Astyanax mexicanus: one gene and its partner. The protein of the gene in region 1 binds, or shares a complex with, the protein of each later gene. Links are inferred from orthologs where the notes say so. Each region holds a gene or a part of one and is shown on either strand. Other genes may lie near its edges.

Region 1 (8,249 bases):
ATTCAATCACTAGAGGAAAATATGTACCTGTGTCTTTCTCACACAGCTGTAGAACCTCATGACAACCCTTGTAAAACTTTGCTCCATGTGCTATAGTCAACATTCTGGTGGGTTTTTTTTTATCGTATCCAACTCAGACTTACATGTTTCTGCTTGTGGAGGAAGCAGATTAAAGCCTTTAAAAAATACTAACTGGATAACCCTCTCCAGAGTACAACTCAGCAGAGCTAATAAACACCACTACATACACAAAAAAGCCAACAGTGCATCAAACTATCAAGCTTAGATCAAGTTTGATCTAAGACAATGGTAAATGTCTTGTGTCGATGTCAAGGTTGTGGGTTTGATACCCGGGTTTGGCAACCTTAGGCCCTTAGCCCACCAATCTGGGCATCTTTGCACACTTTTTCACTGTGTATGTCTTCTGAGTGTACTCACATGTTTGCTCTTGTCTTGGCCTGTCCTGTGTATAACAATTTAAATAGGAATATTGTTAAATTGTTTTGAATACACATTGGTCTACCTCTGAAATAAATTCTAGCCTAGGGTTTAACTTACACTGCATACAAAATCACTCTCTATTATAGAAACTACAGAACCTTATAGTTTTCAGCCATGATGTTTGCAATTGTGTTTGAATTCTCAATGAGAATGATTCAGTTACATAATGACTTACATAAATGTTGACTTGCTTGGTTACCTATGAAAAGAAAAATCCAGTTTCATATACGAGGAAAAATAAATGAAATCTAAAATATAAATATCAATTAAATCAATGGGAGTTGATTTCTTTAACAAAATTTAGACATTGTACATACTTTCCAGTAAACTCAGTTTAATAATGAAACACAGAAGGAACAAATCCTGATTTCATAACATCTTTGTACAATTCTATTTTCTGTACGATGTCCTACTTGTCCCACTGCACATATGTATGTATGCCATACCACTGTAAGACTGGAGCCAGCTGAGCATGTAATCCTTTTAGAAGCTCTGCTGGCAGTTTGAAATAGACTCATATATGCTGGCTTGTCAGCTTTGACACGAAAAAACTCAAGTGGAAGTCATTGCATAAGTGGAGAATGTCCCAATGAAGTTAGTTCAGGATCATTTATTTTTAAAGCCTAGAAGTCTGGGTCTGAATCAGCCTGAGCACTTTCATTTTACTTGTCCTCAGAGTAAAACGTCATAAAAATACTCTAGTGTAACCATGTCTGGTCTATTAGAATGTTGGTTTGAGACTTAATGTACACCGCCTGTTCAAAAAAAAGGTTACACACCCTAATATTTCATTGGACCACCTTTATCTTTGATTGCTGCATGCATTCACTGTGGCATTGTTTGGATAAGCTTCTGCAATGTCACAAGATTTATTTCTATCCAGTGTTGCATTAATTTTTCACCAAGATCTTTCAGCATTGATGATGGTAGAGTCTGACCGCTGCACAAAGCAGCACTTCTCCAGCACATCCCAAAGATTCTCAGTGTGGTTAAGATTTGGACTTTGTGGTGAACAATCCATGTGTGAAAATGATGATCTCATGCTCCCTGATCCACTCTTTCACAATTCCAGCCCCATGAATCCTGACATTGTCATCTTGGAATATGGTTGTGCCATCAGTAAGAAAAAATAACCTGGACTAACCTGGTCTACATTTAGTATATTCAGGTAGTCAGCTGGCCTCATTCTTTCAGCACATACTGTTGCTGAACCTAGACCTGACCAACATCATTTAGTGAGGTGGCGACTTTTTTTTGGCCAGGCAGTGTATATAGAATTTCAGTTATTTATGTTTATTCATTACTTTATATCTCAGTTGTGATTATTTCCTCAGTTTAGTAGAAAATAATGAGCAATTGTGTGGAACTGTGTGGATATGGAACGCTATAAATCTGTTTTGTTGTTTTTGGGATTCGTCTTACTACATTATTTTGCATTTTTAAGCATATATAGCATTTAATATTCATCATTATTTATCAAGGTTGGTGTTGGTTTAAATGCTTTACATATAACATCCACTGTTATGTTGTAATAGTGTAGTTTTAAAGGAGGAACTCCAGTTTTAAATTGACTTTTGGTGTAGGAAAACATAATAAATATAACTTACTTTTGTTGAATAGCCCACTTCTGTTCTCCTGCAGCTTTCTGAGATCCAGTAATTTTGTGCTTTTTGCCCAGCGCTTTTTACAACGCCCGCTTTGGGGCATATTTTGCCCTGATAAATCGCTTTTTACATCGTTATCCAGGCTCAAAGTAGCTCCACACCTCCTTGGTAGAAACAGGAGAGCTCTGACATTTTAAACGAGACATTAAGAAGTTTAAAAATGCACAAAAAGCTTATTAAAAAACACTGTTTACAACACATAGCGCAGGTAATCTTCGAGTGCCGCCATCATTGTACTGATAATGTTGTAGACATATTTACATAGACTCTGCATAGCCTGCCTCCTGGTGTAGCAGCCGGTGCCCAGTGCATTTTTTCATTTACACCGAGGAAGGTGTTTAATACACCTATAATAATAATAATCACAATTCTACCAATGTTTACCTGATTTTCACACGGTTTGGTTTATTACAGGGCAGAGATGTAATAATGATTTAGGACGCTGTCACACATTACAAATACCTGCTTTTATGCTGAAATCCTTTAAATAATGATCTTTTACAAAGACAGATCTTTGTACAGAGTGCTGGGCAAAAAGCACAAAATTCCTGAATCTTGGAAAGCTGCGGGTTTTACTACACTAAAAGTCAATTTAACATTCTCCTTTAAGGTTAGGAGTATTGTCTGCAGATTAGTATTGGTGTAGTGTGGTGTGTAGGCTACTTGCCGGGCTGGAGAGTTAAACCCTATTCTTTGAGGGGAAAAACATACTGTTACAGTTTTAAATGCTGTAAAAGATATGGTTTGCTTTCTCTGGAGGTTGACATCAAATGCTATTAGGCCAAATGTGGATCCCAAATGCCTTCATGCGCTACATATAGATAATGAAATAAAGCTCCCACCCGAACAGAGCTCAGTGTAAACAGAGCTGGTTGGGATTTGCTTTATTAAACTCTAGTGTGGGTTAATAATGAGATTTACACTGATCTCAGAAATGTATCAGAATGTTGTGACTCCTGTATTAGGCCTTCCTAAGCAGAGTAAATAAAGCTAAAAAACATTTGGGACACAGGTTGAGAATGCTACCCAGCCAACATGGTTATGTAAGGCTCACCTGGGTGGAAGATAGGCTAGGTGGATTCTAGGTAGGCACGCGCTCTGAAAGGATTTATGCATGTGTGTTTTATTGGGACCCAGTTGGGTCTCCCAAATAGGCTCCATCAATACAGCCCACCATAATTTCACATGGGTCCAATCTGGGCCAAATATGCAGTGTACCACCCAGAGATGGCATGTTTTTAACCCCCCATGGTCCTATCACTGATCCCAATTGTACCCGTGTACCTCTACCACTTGTTTTTAGCTGTCACCCTTTCCCCTTGGACAAGGGAAGAAAGTGGTTGATAACCTTACTCTCAGAAATTTAACAACCCTTTAAGAGCCTGATACCATGATACTGGCAGTGCTCTATAGGATAGGGCATCAGATCACTTTCAAAAGGAGGAGGTTTAATATTGTCTACCACAAAATTATTGATGGCAGTGAGCTGAAGTTAGCTATTCAGTTCTTCAACTTCTTATCAGATTTGTAAAACACTCAAAAAGAAATAGTAGGGGTCCAAAAGAGAAATGGGATAGTCATTAAACTACGTAATTGTATGCTTGTTATCTTAATTTTAAACACAATATTACATTTGTGGGTTTCTTTGCTTGCTTGCTCAGCTATCTCTGAAATCAAACGTTTGGATTTTGTAGGGTTAGGTAGCCTTAACATTGAACACGAATCAGGACCAAGTGGTAACCTATAGCTTTGAAAGGTAGAGTGTCATAGTTGTTGGTAGGCTAATGAAGAAAAAATGAGAAGAATGTAAGTGAGGGTCCAAAAAACAAAAAAAAAACGTAAAACGTGAATGTAGGCGTGTGTGTGTGTTTATTTGAGAAGCAGAACAGAGGCAGTCCCACGGTTCTGATCTTGTTCTTTACTCGTCTCTCTCTCTCTCTCTCTCTCTCTCTCTCTCTCTCTCTCTCTCTCTCTCTCTCTATCACGCAGTGACACAAACGCAGCCACTCCTCTTACCTCCCCCGCACTCCTCCGCTCTCTCTCTCTCCTGTCTTTTTTTCTGTTCCTTTTCGCATGCTTCGCTCCACCTGTTTTCCGCTAAGCTCCGCCCCCAGCGCTACGGTTGGATTGTACAGTGGCTTAAGTTCGTAGTTATCGTAGTATTTAGAGGGTCATTGTAACGTTTATCAGTTCTATTTTTCTCACTTTTTCTCACTCTGCTTTTATGTCTTTTTGCATCCTCTCTTATGATTTTTTTTATATTGCCTGTATATTGCCTTGATGCATTGTACCTTCTGTTTGTGCCTGTACTGTAAATAACTGAGTTTTTAGAAAAGGTATGAATATAAATAAATAAAACCATTATTATTATTATTATTATTATTATTATTATTATTATTATTATTATTGTTATTATTATTATTATTATTATTATTATTATTATTATTATTATTAGTAGTAGTAGTAGTAGTAGTAGGAGTAGTATTATTTGGTAGTTTTTTTTTTGTTTTGTTCTTTATTTCCCTTTTTTTCTTCATTTCACACAATCAGAATACCAGAAAAGAATTAAAATAATCTTTATTTATTTATTATTTTCTCCAGAAATAAAAAAAAAAATCTTTTTTTAAATACAAAAAAAAAACTTTTTCACTATACTAAATATAATAAATAAATCAAGTTTTTTTTCACAGTTTTTTATTTTACAATTCCAGAATAAGAAATATTGAACCGATAAACGTTACACTGATCCTACATGCTTAAAAACTCGTGATTGGTAGGTACTTCTCGTCACAATCTGCCTCGCCCTCTGATTGGCTAGCAGCGCCACTGGCAGTGCCCGCCTTCTGCGCTGAGACTGGGAAAAGCGTCTCTACCGCACGCGTTATTGGCCAATCGCAACGCATGGGGGCGGGGCTATGTGAGCTGCGTGTGGGGAATACGGGTGGAGAAAAAACAGCACGAGAGAGGAGCATCGCTGCGTCCACGGCGCTGAGGAAGAGCCACGGCCGCTCTGCTCTCAGCTCATCTCTGCTCTGTCCTACTAGCTACTTCACCTGCATGGATATATATCACGATGGCTGCTGCTGAAGACGGACTGAAAACGAGGGAGAAGGAAATCAGCACACGCTGATTCTTTTTTATTTATTTTTTATTTATTTATTGTAGTTGTTTGCGTTTTATATATATTGAACATGAACTTCATCAATTGCTCTCAGGGAGATTGAGGAAAAACATGGCCCAGCGTGCTCTGATATGCATATGATCTATATGCATTAGTAGTGAGGTTATAATTGGAGTGTTTTTCCTCTTTTTTTAAATCTCAGCGTGTGGAGCAGATAGAGATCTATAGATGAGATCATGTGGCTCTGCTCCTCTTGCTTTATTCTAAGAGAGACAGGCGCGTTCCGTGCAGGCGCTGCAGGGCTGCTGCGTTCAGTGCGAGCTCGAGACTGAACACTGATGTGATGCTCTGTGGATTGCGAGCACTCCCTCCTCCTCTTCTAGCCCAGCGCCAAGGACCACGACTCCAGCTGGAATAAAACACACTCTCTGATCACATAGTCCAGTCCAATGGACAATTGCTCAACGCTTCAGCGTAAGTAGTTCTGTGTGCTTGATAGCATTGATGTCTGATTCCTGCATGCTGTGCTGTGCTGTGGGTTCTTGAGCATTCTCCAGATGGCCTCATCTTCAGTGTTCACTTACCTACCTGTCTGTAGATACATCTAATATACAGTTCTGGAAAAAAAGGAAGAGATCACTTTAGTTTCTGAATCAGTTTCTCTGATTTTGCTATTTATAGATATATGTTTGAGTAAAATGATCATTGTCGTTTTATTCTATAAACTACAGACAACATTTCTCTCAAATTCCAAATAAACATATTGTTATTTAGAGCATTTATTTGCAAGAAATGTCCGAATGAAGAAATGGCTGAAATAACAAAAAGGATGCAGAGCTTTCAGACCTCAAATAATGCAAAGAGAAAACAAGTTAATATTCATTTTAAGGTTTTAAGAGTTCAAAAATAAATTTTTGGTGGAGTAACCCTGGTTTTTAGTGACTGTTGAGTTTTCATGCATCTTGGCATGTTCTCCTAGCTCCACCAGTCTTACACACTGCTTTTGGATAACTTTACGCCACTCCTGTTGCAAAAAAAAAATCAAGGATTTTAGCTGGGTTTGATGGATTGTGATCATCCATCTACCTCTTGAATATATATACATTCCAGAGGTTTTCAGTTTGGTAAAATCAAAGAAACTCATCATTTTTAAGTGGTGTCTTATTTGTTACAGAGCTGTATGTATGTATCAGTTTGTCAGTTAGCAGGTAGCCTTTATTTCAAGCCAGGACTCTTCATAATTTACATGGTTTAAGCTAAAAGCTGATTGCATATATTGCTTGGTATTGGTTTGCTATTGTCTTGGTGCCTATGTGGTGGGTCTTACCCACCTTGAGATGCTCATTCATTCCAGTGGAGTCATTCAGGAACAGGAAACAGGAATCAGAGGTGTGATGAGCCACATTGTGGGATATTGGTACAGTATTTGCTCATAAAGTCTGTGATGTCAGTGACCAGGCTTATGGTTCTTCAGGTCTCTAATCTAATCTTAAAAGGCTTCTTCTTCTTAAAAAAAAAAAAAATGTTTTTAAATTCTTGACCCAATATGTAACTGATCATGTTTAGCTTCTCAAGCTTGGCTAAGTCTAATCTTTTACGCTATATAATCTATTAGGCTATAATAGCTTTATAGCTTCATCGCTTTCCTCCATTTAATTCACTTGCGTGGAATTTTTTTCCACCCACACATCCATGCACATATTATGTTAAAGTCACTGCTGGTATGAATTGAGAATAGTAATAGATAATATTCTTGGCTTGGGTTTCTGTTTTATGAACATTTGGGAAAATGTATTATTGTTTTATTGTACAAGCATAAAGCATACACACACACACAGCAGGCTACAATTGGGTGCTGCCCAGTTTTCTATATTTATGAATGAACATGGGCACACAGTGTTATTAATTAAAAAGCATCACCATTGTCACCCCTTACTATACAGCTCTGGAAAAAATAGAAGATCAGTTTCTCTGATTTTGCTATTTATAGGTATATGTTTGAGTAAAATGAACATTGTTGTTTTATTCTATAAAGTACCAACAACATTTCTCCCAAATTCCAAATAAAACATTGTCATTTAGAGCATTTTTTTGTAGAAAATGCAAAAGTCTTTCAGACCTCAAATAATGCAAAGAAAAAAGTTAGTATTCATTTTAAGTTTTTAAGAGTTCAGAAATCAATATTGGGTGGAATAACCCAGGTTTTTAATCAGTTCTCATGCATCTTGTCATGTTCTCCTGCACCAGTCTTACACACTGCTTTTGGATAACTTAATGCCAAAATTCCTGGTGCAAAATTTAAGCAGTTCAGCTTGGTTTGATGGCTTGTGATCATCCATCTTCCTCTTGATTATATTCCAGAGGTTTTCAATTTGGTAAAATGAAAGAAATCCATCATTTTTAAGTGCTCTCTTATTTTTTTCCAGAGCTGTATTTGCAGTATATTGAGATTTTATTTTATACAGTGTTGCCCAGCCCTAACTGGTTGATATCTTTTCAATCTTTTTTTTCACAAATTCCTGCTGCGGTTTGGTGATATTAACACAGGATTACCCTTGAAGTTGTGGTATTCTCTCTCATTGACTGACACAGCATGGATATGTCCTCTAGACAAGTTAACTGATATCTGCTACAGAGGGACGGCCATCGCCGCAAATTTCCTCCCTCAGGAGTCGCGTGGGGCAATACTATTACCCTTTCGCTATACGCTGCCCGGCCGTATCCCGGAATGTGTGTGAATGGTAGATAACCTGCTGGACAGGTGTAAGCAGATTAGGTGTGGCTGTGTCTATCTCTGCTGGAGCAATGAGAGGGGAAGAAGCCTTGATGGCTGAACAAAGGCTGACTGGCAGGACCAGTAGACTGATGTTTGTATGATGGGTCTTGTGGCTGTCCAGAGATAAATGGCTTCCCCTCCGCTGGCTAGGCAGGGGACGCTGGACGCAAGCCAAGCTGCTCTAGGA
Region 2 (7,711 bases), on another chromosome or scaffold:
TCTGTGCCAGTCAGTTTCCAGTTCAGGGCCAACTAGGGCTTGGAGTTCCAGTACTGGCTCAGATCAACACCACTGTTGCTGACTGTGGAAATATAAAAGCCACAGTTCAGAGAGATTCCTCACAGTTTTCTACTCTTTATCCTGAGTGCAGCAGATCAGACAGAATCTGATCTTCATTAAACATTTCAACAATGTTTAATCATCACTGAACACACTTAAAAAATACTGCCATAATGTCAAAAACATGATCATTATGATACAGCAGGATCCATAACACTGTAGGGTAAGAATCTGAAGGCCTTTATTACCTGGACCAGGTGTGATCTACTGTGGGGTGAAGTTTAAGTCCAGTGCCAGGATTAATTAGTATGAATTAATTAGTATTAATTAGTATGTATGCTGAACTATCGCATCTGTTAATAACTAAAAGTGTTTCTGCTTCCACCTACTGGAAGAGCTGCATAGTGTGGTGTTTTGTCAGTTATATATGTTGTTTTTACACAACTTGTGACATAATTGGCAAATTAGTGACCATATTAAAAATCCTATACTTCTATAAAATCTATATTTTAATTACAAAATCACTCACTCTCTCTCCCCTCATTGTGATACTGGCTGGCACAGGTGTCTAATGGCTGATGTATCATTGCTGGGGATCTGATGCTTTCCTCTGAGATCTCTGGCTGCCTGGTGATGCTCCACTGGGGTAGTTGCAAAAGAGGTGGGACCCTACTTCACATTTATTGAAGGAGGCATGCCCATTTCTAACCATCCTTGTGTTGAGAGTATTGCAGTGATTGGAGGAGTCAAAGTGAGTGGGTTTGTTAACTGGTTTGAATTAAAATTAAACTAAATTAAAAAGGTTTAAAATATATATATACACATACAGCACAGAGTTACTGTCGTGCAGAGTCTGCACATATATTTTAAAATATACAGCTCTGGAAAAAATTAAGGGGCCACTTCTTTTTCTGAATCAGTTGTTCCGATTTTGCTATTTATAGGTATATTTTTTTGGTAAAATGAACATTTTTTTATACTATAAACTACAGACATTTCTCCCAAATTCCAAATAAAAATATTGTCATTTAGAGCATTCGTTTGCAGAAAATGAGAAATAGCTGAAATAACAAAATAAAAGATGCAGAGCTTTCAGGCCTCAAATAATGCAAAGAAACAGCTAGAACATCAATTTTATATTATAAAGTTTTAAGAGTTAAAAAAATAATATTTAGTGGAATAACCCTGTTTTTAATCACAGTTTTTATGCATCTTGGCATCATGTTCTCCTCCACCAGTCTTACACACTGCTTTTGGACAACTTTATGCCACTCCTGGTGCAAAAATTCAAGCAGTTCAGCTTAATGGCTTGTGTTTATCCATCTTCCTCTTTATTATATTCCAGAGCTTTTTTTAATTTGGTCAAATCAAAGAAAATCATTATTTTTAAGTGGTCTCTTATTTTTTTCAGAGCTGTATAGTACAGACAAAATGTTCACACATACCATATTTTTAATCTATAATGTAGAATGTAAATTTAATTAAAACATTAAATGAGTACTGTATATTCATCAGCTAATTTTAAATGATTAAATCTCATTATGATATTCATATAACCAATTTATAATCTTTCTCCATTATAATATTTTTTTTTATGAAAAATAAAATAGGTAAAACAGATAAAATCAAGAACTGATGAAGCTGTAAATGGTGCTGCATTATAGAATATTGCACACTCAACCAGTAACAACAATATAGCTGTGATGTTTCTGATCTATTGAGCTGCTTTAATTTTAAAAAAGGCTGAAAGGAGGATGTCAGTGTTTACTTAAGCCCCTCCCCTTTTATTAATTTCCCCAGTCACATAGTTATAGTCAGTCACACTGATGTTAGTTATTATCAATGATAAACTGTTAGTGATTAATAACACATCTGATCTAAGGTGGGTTTCCCAAAAGGTTTTTAGCAGTAAGATAATTTGTACATGGTCGAGCGAGCTTTACATTGAGCACTCTCTCTCTCTCTCTCTCTCTCTCTCTCTCTCTCTCTCTCTCTCTCTCTCTCTCTCTCTCTCTCTCTCCATGTTAAGATGCTTTTAATGCTAACATGCTTTTGGGATACAGAGCTCTGGTTATTGCGGATGATGTAAGCAGTATTTCAGTATCTGGAGATGGGCAGTATTTCAGATTGACTGATAATGAGACGGGATGACAGTGTTTGACTGCTTATGATGCACTCTAGTGGAGAGTCTGTACACCGCAGATATCCTTATTAAAGCAGAGAGACAGGAGCAGCCCAGTGGCAGATCCGTCATTGCTATTAGTTGTTTAAATATCAAATCCAGATTTATTTAGATTGGGTGTTTGTGTCATTTTATCAGGAATTATAAAAATAAATGTTATTTTTTACATAAATATAGTACAATATAATATGATATAATAATATTAATAATTCCTTTTAGTAATTTCATTTTTTGACTCTCTATCATACTTAGAAAAGTTCAGATAAGACAGAAAGAAATTATATTTTTCAGCTTAATCACTTTTTTTATTTTCTGTGTCCATGACACATTGATAAATACTACAATAACTATATATTCTCTGTCTTGACTGAGTTATATGAACTTAATACACATAAACAGCCCACAAATACAGCTACAAACCTCAAAAACATACAATAGACCCAACAATCAATGCTTAATGTTCCAACAAGCACAGGCGTTCAACAAATATCACTCATTTGTATGCCTTCAGGACGCCAGAGCAGCCAAAACATTAACTACACATAAAACTCACCAGTCAGGCAGCCTATTACTTAGTTTCACGTTGAAGGGCAGCCTTTAAAAGTGCTTTTTAATATAATATGACATAATATCTGTCTTATCTACATGATAGTTAGCTAAATATTTAATTAATCCAGCACGCGCGCTCCGTTTTACGACTAATCAATGCACGTAGCGTAACCACTTCTTCCTAGCGCTGAGAAGGGGTTAGACAGCCATGGCCCCGCCCCCGGAGTAAAAATCATGAATCTGATTGGTTAGATTGTCCTATGACTTTGCTAATAGACTCATTACTACACTCTTCGAAAAATCAGCAGAAGGGTCCACGAGCAGAAGCTATTTTAAAAAGCTTTGATTGGTTAAAACCACTTTCAGTTAGATAAGAGTCCTGTAGCAACTGAAAAACACAAACTAATGCTTTAAGTTAGTTGCTGTTTTGTATTTTAGTTAATTTATAAAATAATTGCTTACACTTACAATAATTATATACTTCCTGATAAAAAAATATGTAATTATTTACATGCACTTTTTGTCGCCCCTTCTCTGAAGGGTTAGAAGGGCTCACTGCACACCACTGGTATATTCCAGTATTAGCCTACAGTGCAGTGTGTATTTCAGTGCAGTGTGTATGGCAGTGTGTATTCGAGTGCAGTGAGTATTAAATTGTGTATTTTAATGTATTGAAAATTCTAGTCTATATTGCTGTATTACAGTGCATTGTGTATTTTGGTGCAGTGTCTGTTGCAGACCTGCAGTGTATATTTTAATGCAGTGAGTATTAAAGTGTGCATTGTAATGTGTTAGTCTATAGTCTATAGTGCACTGTGTATTATAGTGTGTATTGTAGCATGTGTAATGCATTAAATAAACAAGACAAAGCAAACTAAACCATAAAGACAAAAGATAACAAAACTGTATATATAAATCAAAACTAAGAAAACAAGAAAGAACTCGGACAAGACTATGTTTACACAAACCCAACATGGAGCACACAAAGCAAACAAAAGACTCGGCAAGGAACATTGAATAAAAGGGGCTTAAATACAGGATGAGGGTGAAGAACACCTGGGACTGGTAACAAGGGGATGGGGTAACAAACAAGACATGTGGGGCTAGGGCAGAGACAGAACAATAACAAAACAGGGCAATGTGCTTAAAGAGCACATGGCTAGGAACACTAAAAATGAGAACAGAGGACAGACAGGAGAACATGAGACAAAAAAAGGAGACACAAGACAGACACGGGTTAAGGTGTGACAATTGCAATATTTTAGCTTTTTTTTTCAAGTGTTTTGTACTGTGAATTACAGTGGGTGTCTCATACAGTGCACTGTGCATTACAGTATTACAGTGTGTATTGCAATGTGCGGTATGTATTACAGTGTGCATTACACTATACAGCGTGTATTGCAGTGTGTATTACAGTGTGTATGTTATGTAAGCTCCAGTCTAAGTGAAAGATGAGCAGATAAAGAGATAGAGGTTGTGACTGTGAATAGCAGGATGTCACAGTGGAAAGGCGGGGTCAGCCCAGGCTGTGGGTGGGTGTGGGTGACGGCAGGTCGGTGTGGGGGGGTGGCTGTGGTGGTTGTTACAGTTTCAGTTGTGACAGAGAAGGAGATAATCCAGTGTGCTGAAAATATGAAGATGATTATGGTGTGTGTGAGAGAGTGTGTGAAGGTGTGTGTGGGTGTATTCCACTGTTCTGGATGTAAGCGTGTGGCACTAGTTCATCCTGGCGCTACCCGGAGAGCAGGAGGAGTGGGTGGAGGCGGAGGTGGAGATGGAGGTGGAGGAGGGATGCAGTTGCCCCTGACAACGGGGCTGTGTATTCAGGAGCATCAGCGCAGGCTGTGATTGGACGGCGCAGACAGAGCGGGCGAGCCATAAAAAGAGAAAAGCTGTCAGTCATCGTTTCCTCTTTATCTATCTCTCTCTCTCTCTCACTCTCACTCTCTCCCCCTCTCACTCTCACTCTCTCTCTCCTCCACTCTCACAGTGCTCTCTCGTCCACAGGGCTGAGCGACCCTCTTCTTTTCCCCGCGCCAACAGGCTTCCCATCTTCCTCCTCTCCTTCCTCTCAGACGCTTCCAGCTCAAACAAAAGAGGAGAAAAACAACACACACACACACACACACACACACACTCACGCACACACACCCACACACTCTCGCGCACTGACTCTCGCGCAGGCAGCCTGACCTGAAGCACCTGGAGCAGCATGGCCACCATCACCTGCACCCGCTTCACTGAGGAGTATCAGCTGTTCGAAGAACTGGGCAAGTGAGTGCCAACCTCCACTTTCAGCACTGCCACACACCTCCGAGTGTGTGTGATTGAGTGTGTGTGAGTGAGTGAATGTGTGTGTGTGTTCATTTCAGCGGGGAACTATTCCACAAACCAAACAGGTGGAGAGTCAGCTCTGGCAGCTCCCTTACCTGTCAGAAACATTAGCTTTGACATTCCTTAAGCAAAAAAAGGTTCTTTAAAATGCTTAGTTGGTTCTCTCCCTCATTAAAAGGTTTTCCAGGTTTGGAGACAAACCAAATGAGACAAACCGAGTCAGAGAATTGTATAGGACAGTTGTGATGTACACTACATAGCCAAAAGTATTGGGCTGCCTGCTAAATCATTGTTTACATTGTATTACATTATCTGGCAAAAAAAATAAGAGTAAAGGAGTAGTAACTGTAGATTTGAAGCATTGCCTTGAGGATTTGATTGCATTCAGCCACAAGCTCTGCAAGTAGTAAAGTCAGGATGTTGGGGATCGTTCTTAAAGTATTAGCTGATAAAGCGTCATCCAGTACTTGAAGCTTTATTATTAGATAAGCATGCAGTTCGCACCGTTCTAAATGGTGAGGCAATAGTTTGCATTACATGCCAGTAAGTGGAGTGCATACTAGATGGCCAAAAGTTTTCGGACACCCTGTTTTTCCTCCTGAAATTAATGGTATGAACTATGAGTCTGTCTCTCTTCTGGGAATGCTTTACACTAGATGTTGGATAATTTCATTAATGCATTTTTGGTTGGTTGTATTTTACCCCAAGAGCGTATTTTACCCCAAGAGTGTATTTTACCCCAAGAGAGTGAGAGTATTAGTAGGGTCAGGTTCTGATGTTGATTAGATGATTAGTTTGGACAGTTGGACAACTTGTCTCAAAAGTACTGAAAGAAGCACCATATGTAAGTCAAGAGAACACAGTTCTATTTCTCCAAAGCTCAATTCTGGGGGGATTTCTCCTCTCTAGCCCATGCCTGCCATTTGGCATGGTGCCAGTAGGTACATGTTAATTTATCTTCTCCAGAGAGTCCTATTCTATCTGCAGTATTTCTCTACTACAGGCATTTAGACAAGCAGTTTGTGTGTGTGTTTGCACTTCAGTTGTTGTTCATATTCTATTTGCAGTTGTTGTTTATAATTTAGCAGAATTTGATGATGAATGAACCAATAGGAATGCTCCAAAATTGCTCACATCCATTTGACGTTAGGAAATTGGTTTCCTTCTCCTGTAAAGTTACTGATATACTGCACACACTATACTGGGATATACTGACATGCCATTAGTCATGGGACATCAGTATGTAAATTGTTAATGAAGCGTTTCCTCAGGGGGCGGCTTGGGAACGCCCAGAAACTGTGAGAGGCCTGATGGTGGGTGCAGATGGATAGGACATTCCATTTCTGAAGTTGTTCAGGGTTTTAACATTCCTCTACCCACAATGTCAAGTGTGTACAGAGAACACATTAGATAGGGCATTACAACCTGCAGTGGACAGTGCAGTGGGTGGTAATGATAGGGACCAGTGGCCTCTAGCTACAATTAACCTGTAAACAGACACATTAAATGCGGGAGAACCCAACACTTATCCCACAGGTCAGTGCAGCGTTCTTTAACTTCCATGGGACATAGCAAAAGTCATGGGACCCTATTCCAGTTCCTGATTCATGACGGGTGGCCTGTCAGTGTATGAGAATAGTACAGTGGTTCAGTAATGGCAAGTCTCTCTCAGTCTGACTGGCAGAGCTCTGAGTGACTGATTCAGAGTGTGAATCAAATGAGTCACTGACTCACTGCATCATACCTGCAGCTTACATAACCACCTGACAGACAACCTGCAGGGAGGGGCAAGGGTTAACAGAGTACAGTACAGTACATTCAGCCCAGTACAGTGTAATGCACTTAACCTGGCACAATGTAGTACATTCAAACAAGTACAGTGTAGTGCACTCAACCAAGTACAGTATAGTACAGTACAGTGTATTTAACACAGTACAGTACAGTACATGAAAACACAGTATAATATAGAACACTTAACCTAACACAGTATAGTACTTTCACCCCCATACAGTATAGTACACTTAACCTGGTACAGTACACTACACTTAGTTCCCTCATCCCATTAGAGTTCATTATACTTTAACCAGTGCAGCATAGTACACTTCAGTACACTTACAGAAAAGTATTAGTATTTGTACTCAGACTCGTCTTGGACTCATTAGTATTTGTACTCAGACTCGTCTTGGACTCAGACTCATCCTGGACTCATTAGTATTTGTACTCAGACTCATCCTGGACTCCTTAGCATTTGTACTCAGACTCGTCTTGGACTTAGACTCATCCTGGACTCCTTAGCATTTGTACTCAGACTCGTCTTGGACTTAGACTCATCCTGGACTCCTTAGCATTTGTACTCAGACTCATCTTGGACTCATTAGTATTTGTACTCAGACTCGTCTTGGACTCATTAGTATTTGTACTCAGACTCGTCTTGGTCTCAGACTCATCCTGGACTCATTAGTATTTGTACTCAGACTCGTCTTGGACTCATTAGTATTTGTACTCAGACTCATCCTGGACTCCTTAGCATTTGTACTCAGACTCGTCTTGGACTTAGACACATCCTGGACTCCTTAGCATTTGTAC

Evidence for each region.
Region 2: the proteins of lrrc7 (region 1) and camk2a are in contact, whole or in part, in a crystal structure (PDB 6X5G), measured with the Homo sapiens proteins. The link is inferred for Astyanax mexicanus from reciprocal best matches to the Homo sapiens genes LRRC7 and CAMK2A. Residues at the interface, in NP_001357714.1 of Homo sapiens: His843, Gly844, Arg845, Arg846, Pro847, Leu848, Ile849, Arg850, Gln851, Asp852, Arg853, Ile854, Val855; in NP_001350919.1 of Homo sapiens: Glu96, Phe98, Glu99, Ile101, Val102, Lys137, Glu139, Leu159, Phe173, Ala174, Gly175, Thr176, Pro177, Gly178, Tyr179, Leu180, Ile205, Gly209, Tyr210, Pro211, Pro212, Phe213, Trp214, Tyr222, Gln224, Pro233, Glu236.

Annotation. Positions count from the first base shown.
Region 1 is NC_064412.1:25,547,380-25,555,628, reverse strand, and holds the start of lrrc7 (leucine-rich repeat-containing protein 7), read left to right. Parts: upstream 1-5,149; 5' UTR 5,150-5,735; coding exon 5,736-5,760; intron 5,761-8,249.
Region 2 is NC_064424.1:33,859,607-33,867,317, reverse strand, and holds the start of camk2a (calcium/calmodulin-dependent protein kinase type II subunit alpha), read left to right. Parts: upstream 1-4,689; 5' UTR 4,690-5,003; coding exon 5,004-5,065; intron 5,066-7,711. UniProt on the Homo sapiens protein: Calcium/calmodulin-dependent protein kinase that functions autonomously after Ca(2+)/calmodulin-binding and autophosphorylation, and is involved in various processes, such as synaptic plasticity, neurotransmitter release and long-term potentiation.